4 linked regions of the Notamacropus eugenii genome follow. The protein of the gene in region 1 purifies or fractionates together with the protein of each later gene. This does not show direct contact. Links are inferred from orthologs where the notes say so. Each region holds a gene or a part of one and is shown in the gene's direction. Other genes may lie near its edges. The genes, in order: PLEKHM1, VPS41, VPS33A and VPS39.

Evidence for each region.
Region 2: the proteins of PLEKHM1 (region 1) and VPS41 purify together in Homo sapiens (affinity purification with western blotting; 4 studies listed by BioGRID and IntAct, with this or other methods). This does not show direct contact. The link is inferred for Notamacropus eugenii from reciprocal best matches to the Homo sapiens genes PLEKHM1 and VPS41.
Region 3: the proteins of PLEKHM1 (region 1) and VPS33A purify together in Homo sapiens (affinity purification with western blotting; 3 studies listed by BioGRID and IntAct, with this or other methods). This does not show direct contact. The link is inferred for Notamacropus eugenii from reciprocal best matches to the Homo sapiens genes PLEKHM1 and VPS33A.
Region 4: the proteins of PLEKHM1 (region 1) and VPS39 purify together in Homo sapiens (co-immunoprecipitation; 3 studies listed by BioGRID and IntAct, with this or other methods). This does not show direct contact. The link is inferred for Notamacropus eugenii from reciprocal best matches to the Homo sapiens genes PLEKHM1 and VPS39.

The regions. Positions count from the first base shown.
Region 1 is NC_092873.1:348,254,051-348,261,367, forward strand, and holds the start of PLEKHM1 (pleckstrin homology domain-containing family M member 1), read left to right. Parts: upstream 1-4,296; 5' UTR 4,297-4,385; intron 4,386-7,317. UniProt on the Homo sapiens protein: Acts as a multivalent adapter protein that regulates Rab7-dependent and HOPS complex-dependent fusion events in the endolysosomal system and couples autophagic and the endocytic trafficking pathways.
Region 2 is NC_092874.1:480,214,702-480,222,605, reverse strand, and holds the start of VPS41 (vacuolar protein sorting-associated protein 41 homolog), read left to right. Parts: upstream 1-4,899; 5' UTR 4,900-4,914; coding exon 4,915-4,959; intron 4,960-7,904. UniProt on the Homo sapiens protein: Plays a role in vesicle-mediated protein trafficking to lysosomal compartments including the endocytic membrane transport and autophagic pathways. Acts as a component of the HOPS endosomal tethering complex.
Region 3 is NC_092875.1:37,522,664-37,530,002, reverse strand, and holds the start of VPS33A (vacuolar protein sorting-associated protein 33A), read left to right. Parts: upstream 1-4,334; 5' UTR 4,335-4,529; coding exon 4,530-4,631; intron 4,632-5,062; coding exon 5,063-5,128; intron 5,129-5,808; coding exon 5,809-5,936; intron 5,937-7,339.
Region 4 is NC_092878.1:28,617,019-28,624,101, reverse strand, and holds the start of VPS39 (vam6/Vps39-like protein), read left to right. Parts: upstream 1-4,063; 5' UTR 4,064-4,119; coding exon 4,120-4,192; intron 4,193-7,083. Other genes in the region: TMEM87A (transmembrane protein 87A), read left to right, coding at 32-62, 1,363-1,404. UniProt on the Homo sapiens protein: Regulator of TGF-beta/activin signaling, inhibiting SMAD3- and activating SMAD2-dependent transcription.

The DNA.
Region 1 (7,317 bases):
TTCCTGTACTGAGCAGCTAGGAGTTTTCCTGGCTCCGTGGATGTGGATCCAAGTAATTGTTACTTTAATGGGAATAATAAAAATGTATGCATTTAGCCTGTCGCCTTTTTCTTAACCAAACTTTCAGGTCGACAGTACCTATATGTGTGTATATGTATGCTGATAATGTTTAATATAAAATTTTGGAATAATCTCTTTGTTCTCTCTGTTGACCAAGAACTTTGTTAAGAAAAGGCAACATGGCTAAATGCATACATTTTATGATTTAATTAATTAATCAATTCCCTATTAAAGACAACGGTAACATAATGCATTATGGAGCCAGAAATGTTCTGGCTACCCAGTGCAGAAATCTTCTGGCTTATATACATTTTGCCGTGAGAAAGGAACTCTCCTAGTTGAACAAATCATAAATTCAGTAAGACAGGACAATTAACAAAGCAATGTCAGTCAAGTCTTGAGATTCCAAGCTGGGTAAACATATGTCCCAGGTGGTAAGGAAATCCCACCACTAGTAAGTGGCAGGCTTCCTGCCCTAAACAGATAACTGACATAGGAAAGGGTAAACAAAGTTCAATAGAAATTACGACCTAAGATGTCTGTGTTTTCTTTACCATTAACATGCCATAACATAGTGTAGGTCTACAAATATTAAGATATGGAAAACGTCCCATTATTCAAGATAGTGTCTTAGGTTAAAGGTCTCCTTAAGGAATGTAGAGTCAGCCTTGGCTGGCTTTTGCTGACATAGGAAGAGGCACTCTCTGAGTTTGCTTCAGAGAGAACAAAGAGACTATTCCAAAATTTTATATTAAACATTATCATCTCTGAAGCAAACTCAGAGAATGCCTCTTCCCATGTCAACAAAAGCCAGCCAGGGCTGACTTAACATTCCTTAAGAGACCTTTAACCTAAGACACTATCTTGAATAATGGGACGTTTTCCATATCTTAATATTTGTAGACATTGTTGACCTGAAAACTTGGTTAAAGAAGGCAACAGGCTGAATGCATACATTTTATGATTTAATTAATTAATTGATCAATTCCCCATAAAGAAAACAGTTACATAGCACTATGGAGTCAGAGGTGACTCTGACTACCTAGTACAGAAAACATCTGTCTTAAGTACATTTTGCCATGAGAAGGAAACTCTCCTAATTAAGCAAATCATAAATTCAGTAAGACAAGACAATTAACAAAGCAATGTCAGTCAAATCTTGAGATTCCAAGCTGGGTAAACATATGTCCCAGGTGGTAAGGAAATCCCACCACTAGTAAGTGGCAGGCTTCCTGCCCCAAACAGATAACTGACACAGGAAAGGGCAAACAATGTTCAATAGAAACCCAGGATGCCTATTTTTTCTTTACCATTAATATGTCATAACATAGTATGTGTCTATAGATAATAAGATACAAAGGAAAGTCCCATTATTCAAGATATGTCATAGGTTAAAGGTCTCCAAGGAATGCAGAGTCAGCCCTGGCTGGCCTCTGCCGACACAGGAAGAGGCATTCTCTGAGTTTGCTTCAGAGAGAACAAAGAGATTATTCCAAAATGTTATATTAAACATTATCAACATATACTATGTTATGGCATGTTAATGATAAAGAAAACACAGACATCTTGGGTTGTAATTTCTATGTGAAACTTTGTCAAACTTTGTTGTCTTATTGTATTTACAACCTATGCAATTAAGAAATTCCTTTCTAATGGTCTAGTTAATCACTCATGGAGATCATAAATCTGAAGGACACACAACACTTCTTTGTCCTAAAAACATATTTAAGGCTGCCCAATTCTTTGTATCAGTAGCCAGAACATTTCTGGCTCCATAATGCATTATGTTACCGTTTTCTTTAATAGGGAATTGATTAATTAATTAATTAAATCATAAAATGTATGCATTTAGCCTGTTGCCTTTTCTTTAACCAAGTTCTTAGGTCAACAATGTATAACATATACACTCACATACATGTGTATAGTACTGAGAGGATTCAGACTCTGGGAACCTCCCTGAACTTCCCTTGAATCTACCCACTTAATCTGGCCTTTCATATTCAAATCTGTTGCCCTTGGCCAAGCCTGGCCTTCCATTGTCTGTTACCTCCGGATTGTTCCACCTGCTTCCCACCCAAGCCCTCCATTGTCTGATATCTCCTGATTTCTTCCAGCTGTTTCCAACCCTTGATCAGTCACCCCAGCCAGTCACACTGAAGTCCTTCTTGGACTTCTCCTTAAGACCCTCCCTAAACCCCTCCTCCCATCACCCTAGACTACCAGACCACCCCCAGATCCTTCCTACAGTCTTTTCTGTATTTAAGTTCCATCTTGCCTCCATGAAGGCGCTCAGATTCAATCCAGCTCAGACTCTGTCTCGTTGAGATTCTATCTGGCCTGCTTGTGAATACAAGCATTACAAATTCTTAGGCTCCTTAATAGTCAACCCAATATGGCGAATCTTTAATAAACTTTGTCTTTCTTTGGCTTTAAGAAGGCTTGAGTCGAATTCATACAAGCAGGACCCAGCCTGTCGGTATTTTGGGGTCCCTAGCACTCCTGAACCTCAATAGTACTATGTATATATCTCTGGGAAGAGAATACCCTCAGGGTTTCTGGGTCAAACAGAAACAATTGCTATTTACATTCACCCTGAGCAATCAGGGCCCAAACAATGATTCCATGGGCTTGGGCTAGGATCAATTGGCCAATCAATGAGAACCACAGTGATTTGGGTTTAAGGCATGGTCCTTAAGAAAGAAATCTAGCCTGTAAACCCCAAGATGTCTTAGAAGGTTTCAGCAATCAAAATTTATATTCCTTTGCACAAGCACCAGCAGGTAAGGATATGTATGACACCCTATGTGGAAAGGCAAGGCAAGGATTTGACCTAGTAGAGAATGAGGAAATAGGAAGGAAAAAAAACCCTGCATCTCTCCAATAATTGGTTATTTAGTTATCATTTCTCTCAGTAGTGTAAAAAGAGCACTTAATTAAAAATAAAAAAAGATTCGGGCTCACCTGATCACTTGGACTTAAAAAATGTGTGACCTTGGGCAAGTCACTTAAAATGGGGATCGCAACATTGTTAATGGATGCTTGTAAATTGTTAAGGATAAAGAGAGGGACTAGATCTTTGCTATTTCATTGGTACAGGGAACTCCAACAAGAGCAAACTCTCTCAACTGATGCTGGACAGCACCATCTCGGCAACTTAATCAACATACATCAAGGGTTCTTAACTTGGGGGTCCATGAACTTGCTTTTGAAAAATATTTTGATTTCAACACTAGTTTCCTTTCTATGCCTGTATATTTTATTTTATGCATTTAAAAACATTCTGAGAAGAGTTCCAAAGTCTACGCCAGGCTGCCAAAGGAGTCCATTTGTTTTACTTGACTATGATGGTTGCAAGGGCTGGGCTTTTTAAACTGCAAAACAAGAAAAGAGAACCTTTAAAAGCTCCTTCTTTAATAAGATTATCTCTACTTTGTCCTGTATTTTCTTTGTAAGCTGTTTGTCCTCTCTCCCATTTGACTCGGGAGAGTGAGTCTGTTTTTGGTTTTATTTTGCTTTTCTTTGTCTCACACAGTGCTTGGCATACAGTAGGCGCTTAATAAATGCTTGTTGTCTTGACCCTTGGTATATATATATATATATACACACACACACATATATATACACACACATATGTGTACACATATATATATATTCCCTGTACCAATGAAATCGCAAAGATCTAGTCCCTCTCTATCCATTCACACACACACACACACACACACACACACAGTGAGTTATTAAGCGTCTTCTCCAGGGTCACCCTGTCAGGACGTGTCACAGGTGGGACTCGAACCCAGGCCTTTCCTAGCGTTGAGGCCGGCACTCCCAGCCACCGCACCGGGCTGCTTCTCTAAGGCGTTACATCAGTTAAGGTTGGTTGGTGGGTCCAGCCCCGTCATCTGAACACAAGGAAACTGAGGTCCTAAAAGAGGGTCGGGAACAGAGGCTGGGGGACTTTCGGCTCCAAGCGGCCGCTGGGCCGAGCCAGTCCGCAGGAGTGCGCCAGACGAGCCCTTTCCGCAGGGTCTCCCTGCCCAGGGGCTGACAAATGGTTAGCGTAATAACCGGCCCCTAGCCGCAGTCCCGACCCGAGTGTGCCACCTCCACGTGCGGTCTCCCGAGCCACAAGCCCCACCCCCACGGGACCTCGAGGCCGGGGATTGGCTACACGGGACAGGGGGCGGGGCTCACTCCAGGCTGACGTGATGGCGTCATCAGCGGCCGGAGCAGCTTCCTGTTTTCTCTGCCCGGGAGGCCGCAGCTTCCGGTCAGAGGCGCAAGGGTAGAGTCTGGAGGCAGTTCTAGTGCTCTTCGTCTACCCTGAGGTGAGTCTGGGGTCCCCGTGAGGCAGCGGTCGGGGATGGAGGGAACTCAGACCGGGTCCCAGAGAAGGTCCGTGTCCCAGACCCCCCATCCCGCTTGCCCCTCTCGCCCCCCTCCCGGACCCTCCTCCAGGACCCCCCGGGCCGTCCCCGCACGCCCGTGCCCTTGCCCCCACCTGACGCTCGTCCCCACCACGCCCCCTCCCCCAGATTTCCCACCCTGGACCGGCCTCCCTGCCCCCTAGCCCATCACCACCTCCTCACCGCGATCCCTCCCTTCAGCTCTCTTAAGCCCTCGGCTCCCCCTTTCCCACGTCTTCCTCCTTCCCCTGCTTCAGCCCCCCCCCAACTCTTCCCGCTAATGCGTCCCCTCGAGGCTTTCTGCCCGACCCGTCAGACCCCCCCGTTTCAGCCTCCGAACCTGACCCGCCACACACGGTTCTCCACTCTCCCATTCAGATCACTCCATCGCCAAGCATTTATTAAGCGCTAAGCGCCGGGGTACCGTGGGGGGAGGGGGCACGCAGAGGCCGGCCTTCCTCTGGAGGAGTTCGCGTTCTAACGGGGAGATGGACGCAGAGGCGCCTGCTTCGGGGGGCTGGGGCTGGGCTGGGCTGGGCAGGACAGGACAGGACTGGGCTGGGAAGCCCCCGTGCAGGGGCAACTTGAGGAGTTCCAGGAGGCTGAGGTGAGAAGGCACAGAGACGGGCCCTTCGGCTTGGACTGTGGGCTTGGTGGAGTGGGGCAGCTGATGGATTGGACATGTGGGACAGGGGAGGAGGAGAGGATGACATCGAGCTTGGGAGCTTGGGTGATCGGAATGTAGTGATGCCCTCTCCAGGAAAAGGCAAGTTTGGAGGGGGGCGCCTTTTTGGGGTAAAGGTAATGACCAAAGCCACCTAGGTGGCATGGTGGATAGGACTGGATCTGGAGTTCAGATCCTGCCTCATGCTTGCCATATAACTCTGGGCAAGTCAGTTAACCTCCGTGTCCTCATCTGTCAAATGTGGATGACAGTAGCACCTTTTCTCATAGGGTTCTTGTGGCCCATGTGAATGCTAGCTATGATTAACGTAAGAAAAATAGGAAGATTAAAAGAGACCAGGTTATAGAGAATTAAATGCCAAATCGGGTGTTGTATTTGATCCTAGAAGTCGTAAGAAGTGAAGAATTTGGGGACTTTGGGATAGGGCAGTTATATGATCAGACCTGCACTTTAGAAAAATCACTTTTAACAACAGTATGGAGAGGGGAGAGAAGTGAAGCAGGGAGACTCATTAGAAAGTACTGCAATATTTTTTCAAGTAAGAGGTGATGAAGGGCTGAACTTGTGTGGTGCTTGTGAAAAAAGGAGGGGGGTGTCTTATGCCTGAGATGCTGTGTGGATAGAGATAACAGATTTTGTTAGTTGATTGGATATAAGAGGGTGAGTGAGAAGGAGGGAGTCTAGCATGACATTGGGGCAGCTAGGTGATCCAGTGGATAGAGTGCCAATCCTGGAGTCAGGAGGACTCATCTGAACTCAGGAAGATCTGGCCTCAGACACTTCCTGACTGTGTGACCCTGGGCAAGTCACTTAACCCTGTTTGCCTCAGTTTCCTCCTCTGTAAAATGAGCAGGTGAAGGAAATGACAAACCACTCCAGTACCTTTGCCAAGAAAATCCTCAATATGGTCACTAAGAGTTAGGCACAACTGTATAGACTGAAAAATAACAACAAAAGCGTGGCATTGAGGTTGCAAACCTGGGTGACATGAAGGATGGTATTGCCCTGTACAGTATTAGGGCAGTTCAGAAAAGAAGTCGTTTTGAGAGAAAAGAGAAACAATTCTATTTTGGGCTTGTTGAATTTGAGCTCCAGTTCAAAATATCTAATAGGTGGTGTAGTAGAAGGTCTAGGACTATCGGGTGTGTGTGTGTGTGCGTGCGTGCGTGCGTGTATTTATCTGCATATAGATAATAATTGAACTCATGTGAGCTGAGGGATCACCAAGTGAGTATAAAGAAAAAAAAACTTAATGTACAACCACACTTACTGGATTTGACTTCGATAAAAATCCAGTAGACAGATTTGTGTGATATATTGAAACTGTCAGACTGTCAGTGGAAAGAACCAAGAGAGAATAGGAAAACAGAAAGTTCAAGGAAAGAATATCTAGGAGAGGGTAGTCAGCAGCAGTGCCAAATGTTTCAGAGGAGTTTAAAGGGGGTTGGTCTTTTTTTGGTCCAGACTCCCCACCTCTTACTTAGCCCTGCTCCTGGTTAGGACTTCTTTTTCAGATCACTGTCTCCAGGCCCCAACACTACTTACAGCACTTCAGTTACTACTGAATCTGTTGACTCTCCTTCCAACCTCTGTGTCAGATTGGTTGGTCAATTAACAAAATTCTGTTACATTCCGACTTTGTGCTAGTCAGTGTAGATACAAATATAAAGAATGAAACAATCCCTACTCACCAGGAACTTAAATTCTAATGGAGGAGACAACAAGGACATATATAAATATATTCGAAATAAATAAAAAGAATCAATTTATGTGACTGCTGACCTAGACCCAGGGTCCTAACCTAAGACAGTCCCATCTTGCCCTATTTTGTCAGTCTGGCCAGTTTTACCTGCTAAGCCTTGCCTTTCTCATCTCTCTGTTTTACAAACTTCTTGATTCTCCTGTACCCCGAACTCCTATTTACTTATACACTTGCTCTGATCCTAGCTTATAAGTCCCTTAAGTTTGCTGTCCACCCCAGCTCTGTCTCTGATTAGGTCCAGAAAAGTCAAAACTCCCATAACTGGACTCTGGCTTTATCATTTGACCAATCTTTAGTCCTTATCTGCTTAGTCCTAGAATTTGTGTTTCTGGCTAAATTATCCCTTGTCTCAATCACTGGTATGGCAGGTGTCATCAAATACTTTGCATGCAACATGTCACATGTAC
Region 2 (7,904 bases), on another chromosome or scaffold:
GACTGTTCTGTGAATTAAAAAGTATAATGTGTTTATAAAGTACCTTTCAAATGTTAAGGCACTCTATAAAGGTCAATAATTACTACTGTTGTTATAATTTCATCATTATTTACAGAAAAAATAAAGGCAAAGATGGGGAAAAAAACTACTGCCCATTCCTTTCATCAATTTTTGTTGTTATTTGGTTGTTTTTCAGTTGTATCTGACTCTTCATGACCCCATTTGGGGTTTTCTTGGCAGAGATACTGAAATAGCTTGCCATTTCCTTCTCCCAAACATTTTTGCACATGAGAAAACTGAGGTAAACAGGATTAATTGACTTGCCCAAGGTTGCAAAGCTGGGAAGTGTCTGAGGTCAGATTTGAACCCAGGAAAACGAGTCTTCCTAATTCCAACACTCTGTCCACTGCAAAATCTAGTTACTAATTAATTGAACATTTATCAGCACCCGTTGTGTGCTGAGCACTGTGTGCTGGGGTGCTGGGGCAATACAAAGTGTAGGTAAGTTATGACACTGCCTTCATATGAGCTTACAATTTATATGGTTTTCTTTAGTTCTGCTATTGATTTGTATAAAAATGGGTAGTAGGAATGTATAAGCTTAAAAGATGTAAGATGAATATGTTTAAGCTAAAACATTCCAATATATTAATAACTTGTTAAGCAAAATAATAATCATCCTAATAGCTCACTTTCTGAAGGATTTCATACTCATAGTCTCATTTGCTAGGCAGCCTAAGAGTGAGAAGAGAGATGGATTTGGAGTCAAAGGACTGGATTTGAACTCATATTTTGCTTCTTATTATCTCTGTTACCTTTGTTAAGTCTTTCAACATCCCTTGGCCTCAATTTCCCTACATGCAGAAGGAGAGGATTATACCAGACATTTAAGATTTCTGTTTTAAATCTATGATACTATGATTCTCAAAACCACCTTTGAAATTCATACACATATGATTCTCCATATTTTACAAATAAACTCACTCTTAGTGAAGAAAAGTGACTTGCTCAGTCATACATCTAGAAGTGTCTGAAGTGAGATGTAGTCTGAAATATTCCTGATTCAATTTGGAGCATGGCACCCAACAAAAGAGACCCAAGTGATGCTAAAAACTTATCTAACATGGTTTGCTGTGATTGAAGAGGACAATCTGAGCCCTGGAAAGATTATTTTAGGATTTCCTCCTTCCTATGACCTTTGCGGTAGTTTCAGTCATGTCCAACTGTTCATGACTCCATTTGGGATTTTTCTTGACAGAGATTCTGGAAGGGTTTGCTATTTCCTTTTCCAGCTCATTTTATAGATGAAAAACTGAGGAAAACAGGGTTAAGTGACTTGCCAAAAATCACATGCCTAGGAAGATTTAAAATGAATCCAAATTTAAATTCAAGGTGAGTCTTCTTGACTCCAGTCCCCGCACTTTCTCCTTTTTATCCCCTCCATCACCTAACAACTAGGTTTGCCTGAACAACTGAACAACAAGAACTTTCTCACCCCCACTGAACCAATACTAAGATTTTATGTCTTATTTTTAGGGCTCCAGACTTCCCTTCTTCCCTTCCTCTATGGAGTATGCTCAAAGACACCATTCCTTGTTCCAATGAGCATGTGAAATCTTGGTGAATGTGCTAATTTCTACCATGGTGACTTCTCAATTCAATCTTTTGGGGATAAAAAAAACTTGGCATTTTAGCATGGCATGATAAATCTGTGAGCGGTGCCTTGATTTTCCTCCATCTCCTTGGCAGTATTGGTGGTGGGATATTATATTAGTTAAGGGACCTCTCCTAGTTTTGAATCTCCTGCACAGGTCATGGGTGGGGTGTGGGGAGTTGGAGGTACTCTGTTTCTACACTCTGTACCACCCTCATATGGGACATTAATTCACCAGGAGCACTTGTTCCTAGGTCATCATCATCAGACTTTTCTGCTTTAGGAATCCTTCCCTGTGTAGGTGATGGAATATCAACCTCTGAATGGATATATCTAAGTTTGATGGCAACCTTGAGAGTCTGAGACATCTACAGGCCTGAGGTTCCATTAGTTTGGAGCTGGATGGCAATAGGGAAAGCTTCTATACAACAGAAGATGATCACTGACTATAAAAAATTTAGCATTTGTAGAGTAATAGGGAAGAGAGATTTTTAGATTTAGAGACCACAGTATCTCAGTGCTATAAGGGATTTTGTAGCATGTGGTCCAGTTAGAGGTCTAGCTCTAATTTTCTCTTGAGTTCAAATAAGTATTCTTTCCTTTTTTCATACCATTTTTGTCTAGATCTTTTAGCCTAGTTATCTTACCACTTCTCCTCAAATACCTAATAGATGGTGTAGTGGTTAGAGCCCGAATTAAAAAAAGCATGATTTAAAATCCTGACAGACACTTACTTAGTAGTTGTCTGACCTACGTAAGTCAATTTTCTTTCTCAGACTCCTCTGTAAAGTAAGGGTAACAATAATAGCTACCTCACAGAGTTGTTGAGAGAATCAAATGAGGTAATATATTTAAAATGATTTGCATTCCTAAAAGCGTTATATTAAATCAATGTAAAAGTTGTTACTTTTGCAGTTTTTTGAGCCCTGGTATAGAAGTATTAGTTTGTATTCATTAAGTTTCACCTCACCAGATCTGATTGATCATTCTCGTTTGTTGAGATATATCTTTTTTTTCTGGACTCTATCATGCGCTGTATCATCCAAGCTCCCCAGTTTTGTGTAATTTATAAATTTAATAAAGATATCTCCATTGTTTTTCTCCTAATCATTAGTCAAATGTTGAACAACACAGAAAGAAGAAGAAATCCATGGGGCACTTTACTAGGGACCTACTTCAACTGACCTTGACCTATTAATGGTCCATTTATTCAACCACTTCCAAGTACATGCAGATGCCTTATCATCTTACCTACATCTCTCAGTTCTGTTTACAAGGTTGAATGAAACGTTTTAGTGCAAAATTTGCTGAAATGTAGGCATACCTAATATTCAACATTTCCTATGATGCTTTCAAAAAATGGAATGAAGTTAGTCCATGATCATACATACCTGATGGAAGGTAATTTTTAAAGAAATAGAGTGGGTGTGATATTGGCTAGCATTTACATAGTGCCTTAAAATTTGCAAAGCACTTCAGAAATATCTCACTTGATCCTCTCAACAATTCATTTTTTAGGTGATTAAATTGAAGTATACAGAGATTAAATTATTTGCCCAAGTTCATGCACTTACTAAATGACTGGATTTGATCAGGATCAGGTCTTCCTTACTCCAAGAACAGTCATCACCCCCACCTCCTCCTCCCACTGTACCATCTAGATAAGAGTTCAGCAGAACTTTCTAGGGAAGAACAAAGCAGGATAGCATCATGGGAGGAGTAGGGCTGGTAGCAGGCGGTAGCAGGATTTCCTTTGGGATCAGGAAAAGCGGAGGAATTTGCATCTTGTATTATTTATCTTATTCTCTAAAACCTTTCAAAGATCATTTACAGCTCTGAAATCATTGTCTATTAGTGGGTTTTTTTCCCTAGTACCATGGATATGGTTTGTTTTGGCCTGGTAACTTGAATCTTTGAGGACAACTAAGTGTTGTTGTTCAGTTGTTTTTCAGAGCTGTCCAAATTTTTATGACCCTATTCTTGGCAAAGCCACAGGAGTGGTTTTCCACTTCCTTCTCCAGCTCATTTTACAGATGAGGAAACTGAGGCAAATAGGGTGAAGTGACTTTCCCAGAGTCACATAGCTAGTAAGTGTCTGAGGCCAGATTTGAACTCAGGAAAAGGAGTCTTCCTGACTCTATGCCTGATACTATGGGAGGTTGAGCTACCATGGGAGATGGCCAACCCCCTTCCCAACTAGAAAGCATAGGTAGGATAAACATTTTGATGGATATTGTAGAAATTATTGTTATAGCGAATAGCTTGAACTAAATGAGATCGCTTAAACTTTTGAGTCTGTGATGGTCAGGTCATTTAGCTGAGTTCATACTTGAGCTGAATCCTCATGTAAAACATCTCTGACTAGTGATCATCCAGCTGTTGCTCACAGACCTCTACTGATGAATTTTTCACTAGCTTTTCAGCCCATTCCATTTTTAGGCAGCACTAATTTCTCAGTTAAGAAGTACTTTTACTCCCCTACTATAGGCTGGATGGTTTTCTAGGTGCTGAGAATAGAGAGAAACAAGTGAAGTAATCCTTGTCCTCAAGATTCTTACATCTCACTGGGACGCCATGTGTACCTAAATGGGTAAACGACGCACACAAAAGAAATATAACGTGATTTTGTGGGATATCAAAAAGAATTCATGTAGATGGTGGGTTTGTTGAGAGTTTTAAAAACATTTTCTTCCCTGGTGAAGCAGTGGGAAGGCATCCACTTTTCGGGAGCTCGGAACACTCGGAGAGCAGTCTCCTGGGCAGCTCCGTCAGAAGCTGGACAGCTCCTCGACAGCTCCTCGAGAGGGCGGAGCTGCTTCAAACTCCATTTCCCAGCATGCATTGTGTCTCCGAGTCCGTAATATCCTATACGTCACTTCCGGAAGCGTCCACGTGATATTGCCGGCAGCACCATGGCAGAAGCAGAGGAGAAGGTGGGTATTTAGGCAGTTGATGGGGGTGTGGCGGGGGGGGGGGGGGGCGGGTGGCCTTGTTCAGGGATCTGCGTTGGGTGAAGTGCGGCGGGGACATTGAGGCAGGTGGGGAGCTCACCCGTGTTTGCCGGGTGCTGCCCCCGTGGTCATTATAAAGCCATTTCGGGGAGGTGAAGAGCGAAGGCACGCCGGGCATGGGGCACAGCTGATGCAAAGACTCCGAGGCCAGAGATGCACTCCCGTGCTGAGATGTCGGCGCCGGCAGTAGCCAGAGTGCCATTGACAGGAGGAAAGAGGGAGTGATTTCGTTCTCCTGGTAGAGCATCTATGTCCAAACATGGGAGCGCTGGGGTGCTTCAGGAACAGGGCAAGGTGTGAAGGGTTTGGGATAGGTGTCTGTGTGCCGAAGGGCATAGAAAGGCAGCCTGGAGTAATGGGTAGAGTCCGGGACTTGGGGCCAAGATCTGGATTCAAATTCTGCCTCTGGCCTTCATTAGCCGGGTGACCCTGCTCAAGTCACCCGTAAAATGAGTAGTTTGGATTGGGTGATTGAAATCTAGAATCCAAGGAGAGTGTTCAGCTCCCATGGCCCTCCCACGAGAAGCTCACACAGATTAGGTGATCTTCAAAGTTACTTTGTATCTATCCTGTGTTACTTTCTATCTATCCTGTCATACTTTTTCTCCAGACTGGCTTTGTTGTTCGTGTATTTCTATATCCTCTCCCCCGCTACCGCTCCCCCGCCCATGCCTCCTGAGTAAATGAGGCCAGAGTTCTGAGGCAGAGGAAAGTTGGTCCTGGTGGAAGATGGTGCTCCTAGTTAGGGAAGGCTTCCAATTTTCACTTCCTGTCATTGCAAATCCAGATGCTGTTCCTGGTCCACTTTTTCTCCTTCTCTGTGACTTCGGTTCTTAGTGTCTGTCTGAGGTTTTGCTCCGTATTCCCCTGACATCTTCCTTGTGCCCCAGTCTGTCCTACCTACCTGACAGGTATCCCTCCTGTTGCCACCTTGCGGCCCTTGGAAGGAAGTCCCTGGCTTGATAGTGCACTCTCCTCACCAAATTATCTTAGATTACTTATTTGTTTAAAGGTTGTAGTTCTATAGAATGTAAATTCTGTCAGCTAAGAATTGATTTCCCTTTTATCTTTCAGAAGCCAACGGTTTCTTGCGCAGAGTAGGAGCTGCTGAATTTAATAGTTTTTTAAAAAATGATAATGATGCTTAAGAACTAGGTTAGCGTGAGAAAAATTTGTGCAAAATTTCTGGACAGCAACACTAATAACAAGTTTGGTTGTTGGTCAATTGTGTTTGACCCTCCATGACCCAGTTTGGGATTGTCTTGCCAAAGATACTGGCCTGCTTTACCATTTCCTTCTCCAGCTCATTTTACTAATGAGGAAACTGTAAACAGGGTGAAGTGACTTGCCCAGGGTCACACAGCTTGTTCATGTCTGAGGCCAGATTCGAGCTCAAGTCTCCCCGACTCCAGGCTTGGTGCTGTATCCACTGAACCACCTAGCTGCCTCCTTTAATTTGGAGTCCCCTTCATTTCTGCAGGTAATAGTTTTTGGTTCGTCAATACATTAGGTACCAAATGTTCACAAGTAAAATTGAAAGGTATAGTAAAGTGCTATAAATATGACTGGTCTTTCATTGGGGACTGAGGGGCAGGGAATAAGTATATATTTAACACCTACTATGTGCCAGTGCTAAATGTTCCACACGTATCTTCTCATTTGCTCTTCACTTGAAAGGCCACTTTGTTCTTTCTTATAAAAGTTGTCACTCTTTGTTTAAAGGGTTTCATGTTTGTCACCTTGAAGGTATGTAAGAAGGAAGTTTGTGAATGATCTGGTAGAAGAAGGGAGCTCTCTCCTGTCAAGTCTTAGTTTCTTCAACTGTAAAATGACTTGAGGCTCTATGACCCCTAAAGCTCCTTGGAGTCTCCCATCTCCCACAGGTCCATTCGTTCCCAGTGGGGAATATGAAGACCAATAAGACAACCTTGGGCCCCTCTTTGAATCCCCCTTCTTAATACCTGGGACCTTGGGCAAGTTAATTAATGTCCCTGGGCCTCTGTTTCCTAATTTGTAAAATGGAGGAGTGAGACTTCAGGCCTCTTACATTCCTTCTGTCTCCAGTTGTCCCCCTAAGATACAATGTGGATGTAAATAATAGTAATAGAAAGAAGGTGAGGCCCATGGGGCGTTCTGTGACTTCAGAGGATGGCCTGATCTTGTATACCTGAGGGGAGTCCCCCTACTCATAACTGCCATGTTAACAGTCCCAGGAGACAGGGTAAATCAGCCTTCCTGCCCCCACGTTGTCTGTTATCTCCTAGATAAAATACAATTTGCTCAGCTTTCTCTCCCACCTTCCTTTTCTCTCCAGTAGAATTTTAAACTCCTTGAGGTTAGGCCTTACTTTACTTTGTTAATTTCTTTTGTCTCTGTACCTCTATCCCCCCACCTCACTTCGAGTAGCGCTAAGGCCAGGAATATGCTCTTAACTGGGTGAAGGGAAGTGGAAGAGGTGCCCCTGGCAGGATGGTGTGGAGGATCCTGAAAGCTGAGGGAATGCTGTTTGGCTGGAGGAGAGGGTGTCCTGGGACCGGGCGAGGAGACTGCTTTGTAGGATGGGGTGTGCTCAGGGCACTGATGGGTTAGGAGGCTGCAAAACCATTTCCCATACTTCTCATGCTTCTCATGATGTTGAGCCTGTGGTGATGGCTGAATCCCAGGGATGTACCTTCTCATTTGTCAAAGAAAGATTAAATTGTGTTCTGTATAGCTTGAGTTAAGTTGTTGAAATTGGTAACCTGTGTTTGTTCCCAAGTGCAGTTAAGCTAGCGTGCGCTGGTTCAGTTGCTTGCTGTGTGGCAGGCACTATGTGAAGCATGCTCCAGATTTTATTTCATTTGATCTTCACAGTAACCCTGAGAGGCAGGTGCTGTTCTTGTCCCCATTTTACAGCTGGTTAAGTGTCTGAGTCAGCATTTGAACTCCAGGCCCTTCATCCTCTCCCTTGTGGTTCTCCTGGGTGCCATGGGATGAGGGTTAGGCAAAGGCAGTCCCTGCCTCAGGGAGCTCCTAGCCTAATGGGGCACAGTGCTGTGCTGAGTAACAGCTTCTGAGGTCGGCTGTCTGGCTGTGAAGTGTGTACCTTTCCCGGAGTGTTTGTGAAATGGAGTGTGATCCAGATGTTGAACCCAGAAGTCAGTTAGGAGCTGTCTGCAGCATTCCAGCTGTATCTGAGCCCTGTCCCACCATTGCCACTTAATCTTTTCACTTGAATTCAATATCTGTGCTACTGAAAA
Region 3 (7,339 bases), on another chromosome or scaffold:
CAGCAATGTAAATTGAAAGAACCATCTAGCAAAAAATCAAGTGATTCTAGCAAAATTGCGTAGCTCCAGCAAAGACTCAAAGAGACAGGAGAAACACTTCCCCACCCACTTGTTCACTGAGTGAGGTTCACAGGTGGTGCACACAAGCATGTTGTGGGACTTTTTCACTCTACTCATAATATGTTGTACTGATTTCTCTCTGTCTCTTCACCACCTTCCAACAGTATCTGTTACATAGGATGGCTCTCTGGAAGGAGACAGGGGAGAGAGATTCTGTGAAAAACTAGACAGCAATAAAAAATTATTTTAAAAAATCTACACAGCATAGACTAACCAACTAATATGGACATGAGATCAGTCTAAATTGCCTGGCCTTTGCTAGGAGGATGGCATTAGATGCGCAGGTGGCCATGAGCTTGAACAAAGATGATAAAAGTTTGTTCATAGCTTTAATTTAATTAAACTGCTGACCCAGAAAGCAGAGGTGTCAAACTTAGGATCAGCAAAAACTTGAGTATAGCCTGAAATAAGTCAAAATGTAATTGGGAAATGTTAAAAATAAATAAAAATACAACATAGATAACAATCATTTGTGGTTTTCTAAGTTGGTCCTCATGCAGGCAGCAGAGATTCTATTTGAGTTTCATACCACTTGTCTAGACTAGAGCACTCTGGATACTGGGAATGTTAATATTCATGAAGGCTTAGCACTTCAGATCTGTAAGAGGGGTTAAAAAGGACTAGAATCGGATCTAACACACCCATCAAATACTGCGAGATAGCTATCATGCCTCCACTAAGGGATATTTTGCAGACCAAATGTGCTCATTTCTTTCAGCTGATCTCATGGAATCATCTCTGGTCTTTCCCCATACCTGGAATGTACTCTCTCCTTACCTCCTCCTCATGGAATCCTCTCTTCCTTTAAGAAACAGTTCTGGGGGCAGCTAGGTGGTGAAGTGGATTGAACACTGGCCCTGAAATCAGGAGGATCTGAGTTCAAAAATGGCCTCAGACAGACACGTGATACTAGCTAGCTGTGTGAACCTAAGAACATTATGACTATTAGAACATAAGCCCCTTGAAAGTAGCCACAGTTTTCATTCTTTCTATTTGCAGCCCTGGTGCCTAGCATGGAGTAGGCTCTTGATGCTGGTGGGACTCTGGATGCTGGATCCACTTTATTTGTGTCCTGAAACATCAGGGTCCAAAACTGAAAACAACACAACTTGTTTATTCCTGCCTGAAAGATCTCTCTCTCAACACAGCCCAGGATCTTACCTTTTGGGGGCTGCTTGCTTAGTGTTCACATTACAATCCACCACAAACTGCTATTTAGCCATGCCTCCATCTTGCACTTGTAAGTTGATTTTTTTGAACCTAGGGAGAAGACTTTACATTTATCCCTCCCTATCTTTTTTGATCTAGTTCTGATGCTAGACAGTCAAGTTCTTTTGGGCTTCTGACTCATCTACCTATTACAGCTATATATGGCACCAGCAAGTTTGATGTTTTCTACACATTTATCCAAATCACTCATCAAAGTCTTAAATAGCACAGGGCCAAACAGAGAGATCCCTGGGGCCTGACACTGGAAATCTTCACCCAGTGCTGAACCATCTGATTGCTTACTAGTCCACTCCTCTTCATCTTTTCCACAAGAATAGTATGTGATACTTCATCAAGTGCTTTGCTAAAATCTAGGCAAACTATATTAAATTCTCCTGACTGACTAATTAAAAAACCCTGTCCAAAAAAAGAGATTACTTTGCTAGGACCCACTCTTGATAAAGGCAACTCTGGCTTTTTGTTACAACCACTTTCTTTGCTAGTGGTCTTGCCACTGGACTCATAACTCTGGAGACAGGGAGGCTGAGGACCTTGCATAGCTTTACCTCACTTAAATCTGATTCATGAGCAAGTGAAGACATTAGATGTCATCAGTTCTCTTGCAGAATGAAGTACAAACAGCAACCAGACTGAAGGGAATGATGGATATAGTTGACCTAGAAGCTTCTGATAAACGTTTTCATACTGTCCTTGTGCAGAAGATGGAAAGATAGAGATGGGACAATAATCAGGTAAATTTAGAACTTGCTGGATGGCCAGATTTAAGAATAGCTAGTGGTAGAATATTCCAGAAACCTGTGCTTGTTCTGCTGTTATTTCTTATTTGTATCAGTGACTTGGATAAAGGCATGAAGTTCACCAAACAGGCAGAGGACTCCAATATGGGAAGGACAGATAAGATCCAAATGGATCTTGAGAGGATAAAGCAGCACTTCTTAAATTGTGGGTCATGACCCCATGTGGGGTCTAGAAAATTTTGCCAACAATAAAAGGTTTCTGAATGCAAAATGACCAAAATTAATTTAAAAAAATCAAACGTCATGAATCTGAGGTATTTCTGGCAGTGTCTACTGTCAAATTCACAGGTACAAGATGGAGGATGGGTGGGAAGGAGGCACAACGGCTCATCCCTTATGCTGAAAAAGACTTGGGAGATTTAGTGGAGTGCAAGCTCCTCATAAGTCAGTAGTATGGTGGGCATCACCAAAAATACTAATGGGATCTTATGCTGCATTGAGAAGGGCACCATTTCCAGGAATGGTGAAGTGAGAGCCCCACTGAACTCTCTGTCTCTGTCAGACCTCATAGGTAGTTAGTTGTATGTGTAGTTCTAAACATCAGTTTCAGAAGGACATTGATGAACCAGAGAAGAGTCCAAATAAGGGTAAGTGGAATGGTGAAGAGTTATGAGGATGGGTTGAAGGAACTGGGTTCTTTAGCCTAGAAAAGATGCAGAGGGGGAATATGATAGTTATCTTCAAGCATCTGAAAGGCTGTCATGTGCAGGAAGGATTAGATTTCTTCTACTGGCTCCAGACGAGGGAATCACTCTAAATCTGTGATCCCATTATCTTAGAGAACAACTGTTGAAATAAGTGGATTTTGGTACAAATTGAACACTTCTGCTAACGTAGATTTCAAAATAGGTTTTATAGGGTTTTTCAGTACTAGTTGAACACTTCTGCTAATGTAGATTTCAAAATAGGGTTTTCTAACTAAAATGAAAAAATCTAACATGGAAATTAAAAAGAATAAGCCAGTGTTCATGAGATCATAACATTTAGGACTAGGAGGGCTCAGAAGTCACTCATTGGACTCTTTCATTTTACAAATGAGAACAGAGAGAATTGTGGTGACATGCCCAAGGTCACACAGGGCGTTTTCCAGATTCTACCAAATCTTGTGGGTAATCTCCAACTCTCCTTTACTGTTTCCCAAAGTTTCATCTTTATAAAGAAATGCTTGTCACAAAATTTAAAATAGGACAATACAGCAGAACTGTTCCAGCTTCAGTAAAATCCAGTGTACGACTCTTTGGTGACTCCATCCCTCAGTGGGACCAGGATGAGCCTGTTCTGTAGAGGGAAACAAGGCTAATGGCCAGCCTGAGGACCTTCTTCCTCTCTGAGAGGCTCATGGCCCCAAAACACAGGGCTGGTTGTTCTGTCTTTCTGTCTGTCCTGGCGCATCCAACCTGTGCTCCCAGATCCTGACAGCAGCTGCGTTCCAGGGCCTGGATTCCCAGCTCTTTGTGGCAGCCACCCTGGTACCTACAATCCGGGACTGACACCAGCTTCTCCGTCCCCTCCTCTCCAGTCACGTCACGTCCAGACACGAATTTAATGGGACCGAGGTTAGGTGGGTAGACGGAGAAACTCAAGCGCGCGGAAAGCAACCTTTCCAAAGAGGCGCAGGTAGCAAGGGCAGGGCCTCCCACAGCGAAGCCGCAGACGGAGGCCTTAGGCCTTTTTTACACTTTGAACCTAGGGAAAAGGTGGCGGCTGGAGTCAGGCGGCCCGAGTTCAAATCCTGCCGCGGACGCTTCGCAGCCGCGGGATCCGCCCTGTCTGCCTCAGTTTCCTCGGCTGGAAAGAGGGGGCGGCAGTGGCGTGCTCCCGGCGGGGCTCTCCGCGGGCACCCATCTGGAGGCGGGATTCCTCCTTCCCCCTCACTTCCGGGGCACGCCCATCGGCAGGCCACGTGACGCCCGGCCCCGCTCCCTGCTGGGACTGACGGGAGGCTGGCGGGGGCTGCACGTGCACGGCCTCGCTAGACAGGAGAGGAAACTGAGGCCCAGAGGTTCCCAGGCGTGTTACGTCAGGCTCCCGAAGCGCTTGATGCCTCGCACTTCCGCCGCTTCCCTGGAGACCCCCCGGGCAGGACGCTGGGAGGGGGGAAAAGAAACCAGGGTTCAGGAACAGCCGTGACTCGGCCTCCGCCTCGGAGCTCCCGGGAGGGAGGGGGCCGCCCCGGAACACGCAGGGGCTGCCGGGAGCCGATGCGCGCTCCCCGTGCGCATGCTCAGAGGCGGTGGCGCCCCTGTGGCCCGGGCATTTCCGGCTCCGCCTGTCGCGCGTCACGTGCGCGGAGGCGCGATCAGCTGACTGCTGCTTCGGTGCGCGCTGAGGGCCGTCGGGCGCGGGGAGGGGAGGGGAGGACAGGGGAGGTGCCGCTGCAGGATGGCGGCTCACCTGTCCTACGGGCGTGTGAACCTGAACGTGCTGCGCGAGGCGGTGCGGAGGGAGCTGCGCGAGTTCCTGGACAAGTGCGCGGGCAGCAAGGTGAGGCCCGGGCGGGCGCGGAGGGGAAACTGAGGACCCCGAGGTCATGGGCATGCCTTCCCCCGAAGCTTCTCGACATCCTTCGGCTTCTGACCGACAGCACTAACGGGGGTGGGGGGGCCGGGCGGGTGCCCTAGGCCGGCCCGCCGCCAGGTGCACCATTGTCAGAGCCTTCGCGATAAGCGCTTTTCCCAGGGCGTCTGGTGCAAACAGGACCCCAAGGGTTTTGAGTCCGACGAAATTGGGCCCGGGCGGGAGGACGCAGAACACCCATGTGACGCCGGTAGAATTTTGGGTGGTTGTTGAGAGCTTAAACCTGTGACGTTTGCAGCAGGTGTTTGCCTCCCTTCTTGGGGCCCAGACCGGCCTTCCGGGGGCCTGCCGGCCGCCCCCAGCGCTTCCCAGGTGGTCACTGACTCTACTCTTTGCAGGCCATAGTTTGGGATGAACACCTCACGGGGCCCTTTGGGCTGATCGCGCAGTACTCGCTGTTGAAGGTAAAGAAGATAGAGTGGGGGGCAGGGGCAGGGGCTGGGACAGGGTCAGGGTCAGGGGCTGGGGCTGGGGCAGGGGCAGGGGCTGGGACAGGGGCAGGGGCAGGGAATGGGGCTGGCGCTGGGGCAGGGGCAGGGAATGGGGCTGGCGCTGGCCTCCTGGGGCAGGGGCAGGGGCTGGGGCAGGGGCTGGCCTCCTGTGTGAACTCCTGGAGCTGTCACTTTGAGACCCCTCTGTGACTGGAGGTGCTGATGCAGCTCATATCCAGCCTCATCCTTTCTAACCATCACACACATGTCCTGCATATTATGATTTGTTATTGTCTCCTTGAGCTGTGTCCCACTCACCGTGACCCCGTTCCTGGAGTGGTTTGCTCTTTCTTACTTCAGCTCATCTTACAGTTGAGGAAACTGAGGCAAGCGGTGAAGTGACTTGCTCAGAGTCACCCAGCTAGGAAGCGTCAGAGGCTGGATTTGAACTCAAGAAGAGGAGTCTTCTTGACTGTAGGCCCAGTGCTCTCTGCACTGTGATGCCACCTAGCTCCCCTTTTTTCTCGGTACTTTACAATTACACCTATATGGTGCTAAGCTCCTTAAAAGCAAGTGCTTTTTTAAGTGTTTGATGAATTGAATGTTCAATTTCAAATCCACGTCTTCAGTTACAACTTTTGTCTTTTCCACAGGAACATGAGGTGGAAAAAATGTTCACACTTAAAGGAAGTCGACTGCCTGCAGCTGATGTCAAGAACATTATTTTTTTTGTCAGACCCAGGCTAGAATTGATGGATATAATTGCTGAAAATGTACTCAGGTATCTAAGGAGGAAAAATCTTAAATTTATTTAAAACTAAAATGGTGTTTAATTCTTACATTCCAGCTTTTGAAGAAGAGTGTGGATGGAGTATGGATTACATTCAGAATGTGAGGTGGCTGTCATAGAAAAATGGATAGGGTGGAAGGGTGGCCAGGCTAGAAGAGAACTGAGCCTAGAACGTTAGAGCTGGGAACTTTTGCTACTGGGAATGCCTAGAATGTTAGAGATGGACATTAGGGGTCATCTAGTACAACTCCCTCACTGCATCGATCAGGAGATTCTTGGAGGAAAACCTTCAGTGGGGGAAGTAGTACCATAGGCTATAGTTGGCAAGGACCTTGGAGGGTGTCCAGTCCAACCTCCAGAAGCAGGATTTGAATCTAGAGCCTCCTGCTTGATCTGAAGCCAGGGCTTTAGGGTCTCTGTCCCATGCTGCCTCCTCAACAAGGCATTAAGTAGGAAATAGTAAATTGGGCCCTCTGTGTGGCCCCTTTTAAAGGTATGAGGCAGGCTCTCCTGGGCCGACTAGGGGTTGGGCAGGGGCAAAAGGAGGAGGAAAGATGAATCTGTCGACTGAAAGGAACCTTCCACGAGGACCTAAAAGATCAGATTACAAGATTTAGAGTTGGAAGGGACATTGGTGAGCCAGCGCCCTCATCGAAAGTCCAGAGGAGGAGCCTGAGACCCAGGGCACTTAAAACACTTTCAAGGCCACTGGGAGGCAGAGCACTCTTGCCCAGATCCCGTGTTGTATTTGTTTCCTAAACCCAGTCTGCCCTTTTAGAGGAAATGAGGCTCTACTTATGTTTCACAAGAGAAAGTAAGCAAAGCATTTCTAGAGCAAAAATGAGATCCTCCTGTTTACAGAGGCTTCCCTGTAGCCCTTGGGATACTGGGCTGATCTCTTTCATGGGGAGGAATAATAATTTTGACGGAGACAGTGATATCCCTGCTCCGTAGATCAGGGGCTGTTTTTCATTCTGTTCTCACAGGACCACGCACATCACAGACCCTTGGTCAACACTGATTTAACTGAATGTTAACATGTATTGGGAGTCATCAGTTGGAAAAAAGGAAAGGAGAACACAGAAGGAAGGAATCTTTCAGAGGCTTGCTGAATAGTTTAATCAGAGGCTCCCTCTAGTTACAACATCGTTGATTAGTTGGATTTACTGCTACATTAAATCAAGCACGTTAGTGTCACAAAGTGTAACATAAAGCGTTTAAAAGAGGATTTCAGTGTGGTTGTTATCAAGAGGAAAGGGAAGGGAATAAGCATTTATTTAATTTAAGCATTTATTTAATTTAAGCATTTATTAAGCACCTCCTGTGTGTCTTTAAAAACATGTCACTTTATTTTCACAACCCTGAGTGGTAGGTGCTGTTATTATCCCCATTTT
Region 4 (7,083 bases), on another chromosome or scaffold:
TCTGACTGTTGGTGTCTTTTTTCTTCTACAGAGCACTTCCAGCCCTTCTAGATTCCGATGAGGTCAGTAAGCAAACTTTTTAAAGTAAATTCTCTGATCTTAGAACGTGCAAGCCTCATTAAGGAGATTACTTTGACTTTGTTTACCTAATGTCCTAGAGAACTATTGTTAAGGCAGTAATAAAAAAGTATGGAATGCAAGACATAATAAAAATATAACTTTCAAGTGTTCAGGTTTCCCCCAGTCCCCCAAACATTGATGTAAATATGTGTCTCTTGAAAAGTTACAGAACCAATCTACATCTTTGTGTAAATTATATATGGCCAACCTAACTCCTCCCTCTTTACTAATGTCCTCCCTAGATGACTTTCACCTGATGTGTTCAGGAAATACAAATGATTTTCATATTAAATTAATTAATCTATTAATACTAAATTAATTAAATTAATTTTAATATTAAAGCTAAATTTAATAAGGAAAATTAAACAGCCACAAAAATAATGTAGCACATCAAAAGCAAATGGGATTTTTAACTGTCTGGTTATTCATGCCATTATTCAATACATTGTAAGTAATTGACTAGAGTAGGTTTAATTTTCTTTGTGTTAGTTAATTTTTGCAGTCTGGATATTGAATGTTCTAGTAATGTGTAAGCTTGGTCCTTTTTGATTTCTGGGAAGCTGTCAAGGTCATTTTGATGGACTAGATCATGGGCAGATTTTTTTTTTGTCTTTTCTAATTACTGTATGATAATAGACAAATTCCTTGATTTCTCTTTTTTCCCAATTTCCTTGTTGGTGTAAACTGAGAACAAACAGCCTACAAATATGAGCCCTGTACCTCTTTCTGGCCTCTAGAATTGAGTCTACCAAACATCCAGCATTCTAGGACTTGTGTATAGACTATTATAGTGGCAAGTTCCTAGTCCTCTCAGACAGCCATCCAAGCTAATCCTGTACCCGAAGTTTGTTTCTTTAGCAAACTTCTGACCTCTGCTCACCTGCCAGGGCAGCACTGCCCTTAAGGGCTGGAACTAGAGGGACATAACCTTTGGTACAATTGCAGATAAGTTTACGTGCATATGACAGCCCTGGCTTTGCCAGTCTCTCTCATCTTTGTGCTTTTTGCCTGAAATAACTGCACACTACTTAGCAATCATCTCTACTTATTAAAAAGGTACGGTGTCATTCAGCTATTAAAACTGTCAATGGAAAATAGAGTTCCTACTTCATGCTGTTCCTTATGGTGGACGTATGTTCTAAAATGTGTACATATTAAAATATCAACATGCCTAATCTAAAGAAGAAAAATTTTGAACAAGAAACCATGGCCCCTCTAAAAATAATCCTTTTTTTGCCCTAGGAAAGAATGATCACGCACTTTGAAAGATCCAAAATGGAATGAAGAATGGAAAGTTTTCAGGGCAGAGCTTGTTAGCGTCAGGGAAGAGATCAGCATTTGTGTCAGACTTCTGCTGCTGCTCCACTGGCTGAAAGAAGGCAGTGGAACCCCCTGATCTGTTCCTTGTGAGAGAGAGGCGTTGCAACCAGACGAGCATCCCATTGGGAAACAGGTCACAGAATAACAATTCCTCATAAAAAGGTCCTGATTTACAGTTCCCCCTCTGCCACTCCAAATCCCTGACTTGGATGTTTAAGCAAACCACATGTATTGTTTCAGCGATTTAATTTGTCAGACTGAAATTTTAACACCAAAGGGACAAAGTCCACAATGTGTAATGCCCAGAAGCAACTGCCTCTGATTTTATTTATTTTTTTGGAGAGGTGATGGGGAAAGTTGTTCATTATCCTTCAGATTCCTGAGGAGCAAATGTTACACCTTGCAGAGCTAGTTGGGAGATGAAACGGGCCCCTTTGAGTTAAGGAGTCCCCAGTACTATCAGTGATTAAAAGTACCAAAAAATAGAAAGATTTGAAAATGTTAACAGTGGGATTCAGATCATTTTTTAAAAGCAAAATCAAGTGCAATTTTGTTTACAAAATGGTGTATATTAAAGATTTTTTCTATTTCAGATGTAATTTAGAGAGAAAATATTAGCTTAAAACTCTTTTGATGTCTGCTGTTGTGACACACCCCGTTGCTGGCAATGTGGTGCACACCTGAGAACTTTGAACTACTGCTCCGACAGCCTCTGAGTGCTGCATTGCTATCTCCTATGCAATGCTTTGTCTGCTCTGGCATCACAGGGTAGTAGATGTTCCCCTGGTATTGCAGCAGGTGCAGAGGCTTTCCTTCCACCTGAGAGGATATGAAGAGGACAGCTGATTATAAAGGAGGCAGGTCCTTCCAGCTTGGTTGAATATCCCTGTACGGGGTAGGACACACTAGGGTGAACTGTTCCTGTTTCTGGGGTTGGTTAGGAGTGGTTAGAGGCGTCCACAAGGGGAGTTGCTGAATTAGAAATCACTTAAAGAACTCCATTCTGTTCTAACAGTTTTCTCAACTTTTGCCTTCCCAAGTTACGGATTTCTGTTCTAAATACAAAAAGTTCATGCCACTTTTTAATATTAAAAACCTTAAAGTCAAAACATTTCTGATTTTTTTTCAAATTTTTTTTTAATCACCTATTTCCAAAAGTCTTGTACCCTCTGTTATGGGGAAAATGTTCATTTCCACACCCGTTGATTGCTTCCTAGACTGGAAAACTGCTGGTCAGAGAGCCTCCTCCTAAAAAAGTTTTGTACAGACTGCCCCAAGTTTCACGGGCAGAACTCAAGTACCAGAGGTGAAGCCTGGCCGCCCTCCCGGGTTAGCTCCCCAAGCAGTTACCGTGTTTGGTACTGATGCTGGCTGTGCCATGGCTTTGAGGGGCACCAGCCGGAAGTCTGCCGGGGGGCCCAAGGCCACACCTCAGGGACAGTCTTTGCGTTACTGGAAGTGGGTAACCGCGTGCCACCTGCAGCAGTTATGATCAGGATCGACCCTGACTCCTTGGGGGTGGGGTGGGGCCGGACGTGCTGCACCTGGGCCACCCCGCGGGGGCTGCCCCTCCGAGCCTGGGGCGCACAGGCCCCTGATCAATGCGCGCCCAATCCAACTGGAAATTCCTGTTTCTTGGCACCGAGTCCAGAAATCCCTCCTCCACTCCGAACTTTTAGGCGCTTCCACCTTCTCTTTAAACTGGTGTTGTGGGTGAAGGCCGGCCACGTTCAGATTACGTCTAGGCCCAGGACCTGCGTGGAAACCTCAGCAAAGAGGAGGGAATTTGGGGGGCCTCGAACGTAGCAGTGAGGGAACCCCCGGGTGACCCACGCCGCGGAGGGCGCGCCCCTCACCCAGGCCCCGGAGCCAGAGGCCTCGGGCAGAACTGACTGCGGGTGGAGAAGGTGCAGAAGAGGACAGGGAGGGGCCCCCTGGTCTCCACGGGGGGGGGGCCTGCTGGGGGCGGGGCGGGGCCCCCTGGTCTCCACGGGGGGGGCCTCTTGGGGGCGGGGCGGGGCCCCCTGGTCTCCACGGGGGGGGCCTGCTGGGGGCGGGGCGGGGCCCCCTGGTCTCCACGGGGGGGGGGGCCTGCTGGGGGCGGGGCGGGGCCCCCTGGTCTCCACGGGGGGGGCCTGCTGGGGGCGGGGCGGGGCCCCCTGGTCTCCACGGGGGGGGGGCCTGCTGGGGGCGGGGCGGGGCCCGCCGTCCTCGCAGCCCCCTCGAACCCCGGCACACCGCGCTTGGATGGGGGACGGACAATGACCCTCATTTGTCACTAACTTTAGAGTGGTATTTATCATTTCCGACGATAAGAAAAGGGCCGCTCTTCTCAGAAGGTGACCATGGGCTTCACTAGGCCGACAAAGGGGTCCGTGACTCCGAAAAAGGCAAGAGTCCCGGGACTACGGAGACTGCCGAGCGCGCGGGACGCAGCAGTGACCGCGATGGTGCCTCGGGGTTTAGGAGGCGGGCGCTCTGGCGGAAGGGGCGGGGCCTCGGCGGCGGAAGGGGCGTGTCATCGCCGTCGGAGCAGGAAGTTTGGAGCTGTCGCCGCCGCCTCCGTCCCCGCCTCCGCCTCCCCCAAGGCCGTCAAGGCCCAGGGTTCGTCCCCGTGGCCCCGGATCCCAAGATCGCTGCTCACGCCCCGGCCGCGGCGACGCGGGTCCCCCCGCCGCCATGCATGACGCCTTCGAGCCGGTGCCGATCCTGGAGAAGCTGCCGCTGCAGATCGACTGTCTGGCGGCCTGGGGTGAGAGGAGGGGGGCGGGCGTGTGCGCGTGTCTGTGTGTCTGTGTATCTGTGTGTCTGTGAGTGAGTGTGCGTGTGTGAGCGTGCGTGTATGTGTGCGTCTGCGTGCGTGCGGCTGGGCCTGTGGGGGGGGCCCGCCGTGGGGGAGACCGCGAGCGGAGCCGGCGTCGCCCCGTCGTGCGGGCGCAGGGCCGCGGACCCGGGCGCGGGGGTGACGTCCCCGTAGCACCCGGAGGCGCCGAGCTCCGCACCCCGCGGGCTGCTGTGGGGCGCGTCCCTCCCCCGGCCTAGAGCTCCGGAAGGCCCCTTGCGGGACAGAGCCAGGCCCGGCCCGTAGCCCTGCGCAGCCCGGCTTCGGTGTTGGAAGGGTTGCCCCAAGTGGTCCTGGGGGTAGCCCGGGAGCGGGGCAAAGATCCGGGCCTGGGTGATGTAGACTGGCTTCGCCGAGCCGAGGAAGCCAATGAAAACCCTTGGTTAAGGTGTTTACTGGGGGTCACTTCTGGGGATACGAACGCAAAAACAGGCAGAGTCAGCCCTTCGTGTCCGTGTCCGTGTCCGTGCCTTGCGATGGGGCAGACCAAACTCAGACCCGCACGTGTAGCTTGGGGAATGGTAGAGTGACATCCACCCTTCCTAAAGAAAGCCCAGCGTCTTCGGCCATGGCCAGGCTGAACCTGCCCACGGGTGGATGAAAGCCGTAGCCGGACAACTGATAACGGATGAGTTGGGGTGAATTTGGACAATTCCATTAACTTGAAAGTTTTTAACGTTAGAGTCGCATTGGGGCTGAGTGAAATGAGTGTCCGTCGGCAGATGTGAAATCATCCGGTGGAAAAACCTGACCCGGCACCTAAGCAGATTTGCTGTCATCCCTTCTGCTCCATTATTCTACCTGTACCTTACAAGCTTGCCTTCACAAGTGTTGTACTTTCCTTGAAATCAGGCATCGTTTAAGAAGCTGATCCAAATTTGGGGGGTCAAGAGAGGATCCCACCTACTATAAAAATATTTCTGAAACTGCGGTCTCTCACCATTAAGTTTAGGACAGCAAGGACAACATATTAATAGAGTGTGTGCTTTGTATATGAGCGATACCTAGTAAATATGGTATAGGAAGTATACTGCTTTAGAATCTTGACTTCTAGGAGGGAAAGGGTCATGTTATATGATGAAGGTGAATGCCCAGCACGTTTAGGGCTCTCCATAACCATTTTACACACATACACACGCACACTATCACACTGTCTCCTCCATAGTTTTGTCATTGACTTGATTTATAACTTACATTCAGTCTGCCTCAGGTTTTCCAAGGGTACAGCTAACTGACACGCTGAACTTTCTTACAAGAATGTAAGGCAGATTGACAAAGTCATGTGAATGTACTTTTTCTTCTTTCCAAGGAACATTAGATCACATGAAACTCCTATCTGAGTTTGGTTTGAGAGAGATATGGTTTACCTTAAGAAATCCCAAGTAAAAGAGTGACCAGATAGTTTCAGTCCCTGAAGAATACTATCTACTACTCTGACCTATACCCTTATTTTGTAACTTCTTTGATCCTTGATCAAGGGAACATTTTAGTAGAGGTGGAAAACAGGACAGTATGTTATTAAAATATTATTTTGCTTGCTCACTGCTTTATGAGGCAGTGTTGCTATGATACCACCAACTGTGGGAAAGGCTGGGAAATTTTGTGGACTATGGTTTTTTGGACTTTCCTTATGGCTTTTGAAGAACCATCAAACCTAAAAGTTTGCTCTGCCACCTGGCATTCAGCTAGTGAGATATACATACATTCAACCTCTACATATCCCTACAGAATATCTTTAAAAATAATTAATCCCTCCACTCTGTGAGTGACCTCTCCTGATCTGGGAGAATTAGCTTATTAGAATGAGCCCAGTTTTGGGCTGGCCCTGATTTAGAGGACTCCACAAAACTTAGTCTTTTTCTTTCTTTTTTTTATGTAGCTTTTTATTGATACCTTTTCTTACATCACCTGCATTTCCCCCGGAGCCATTCTCTGCTCCTGTTTTTTTTTTTTTTAAAGATTAGAAGAGAAAAACAAAAGTTTAACACATTGAAAACATACACAGTGTTCTAAGCAGGAATATATCTTCCTTTTTTTTTCCTTAGGGCCATTCTTATTGATTATAACGTTGCAATATTCAGTTTCAGTTGTTCTACGTTGTTGTAGTCATTATCTTATTTTCCTGACTTTGCTTACTTCGGTTTGCATCAGTTCATATAAATCTTTCCATGCTTCTCTGTATTCATCATGTTTGTCATTCCTTACAGAACAGTCATAGTCCATTACATTCATATACCACAATTTGTGTAGCCATTCCTCAGTTGATGGGTATTAACTTTGTTTCCAGTTCTTTGCTACTACAAAAAATGCTGCTATAAATATTTTGGTGTACTTAGAGCCTTTCTTTTTCGTCAGTGACCTTCTTGGGTTATATGCTTAGCTGTGGAATCTCAGGGTCAAATTTCATGGACGTTTTAGGCACTGGAGTTGTATAATTTCAAACTTCTTCTCAGAATAGCTGTACTAAGTCAGGGTGCTATTAACAGTATATTAGTACACCCGTCAATCCCTCCAACATTGACTTTTCCCACCTTTTGTCATCTTGGCAGTTTGCAAAGTCTGAGATAAAACCTCAGGATGGTAATGATTTGCCTTTCCTTACTCATAGTGATTTGGAGCATTCTTTCCAAGCTGTTAACAGAAATATTTGATGCTAATATTATTTTTTCCAAGGTGCTGGATTCTCTTCAAGGCTATCCCAGTGCCTTCTTTTTGGGTCTTGTCTCTTTTCTCCACCAACATTTTTGAAGTCCCAGGATAGTAGTCAAAAACAGGTCCAGGCTTCAGAATCCCCAAGACTG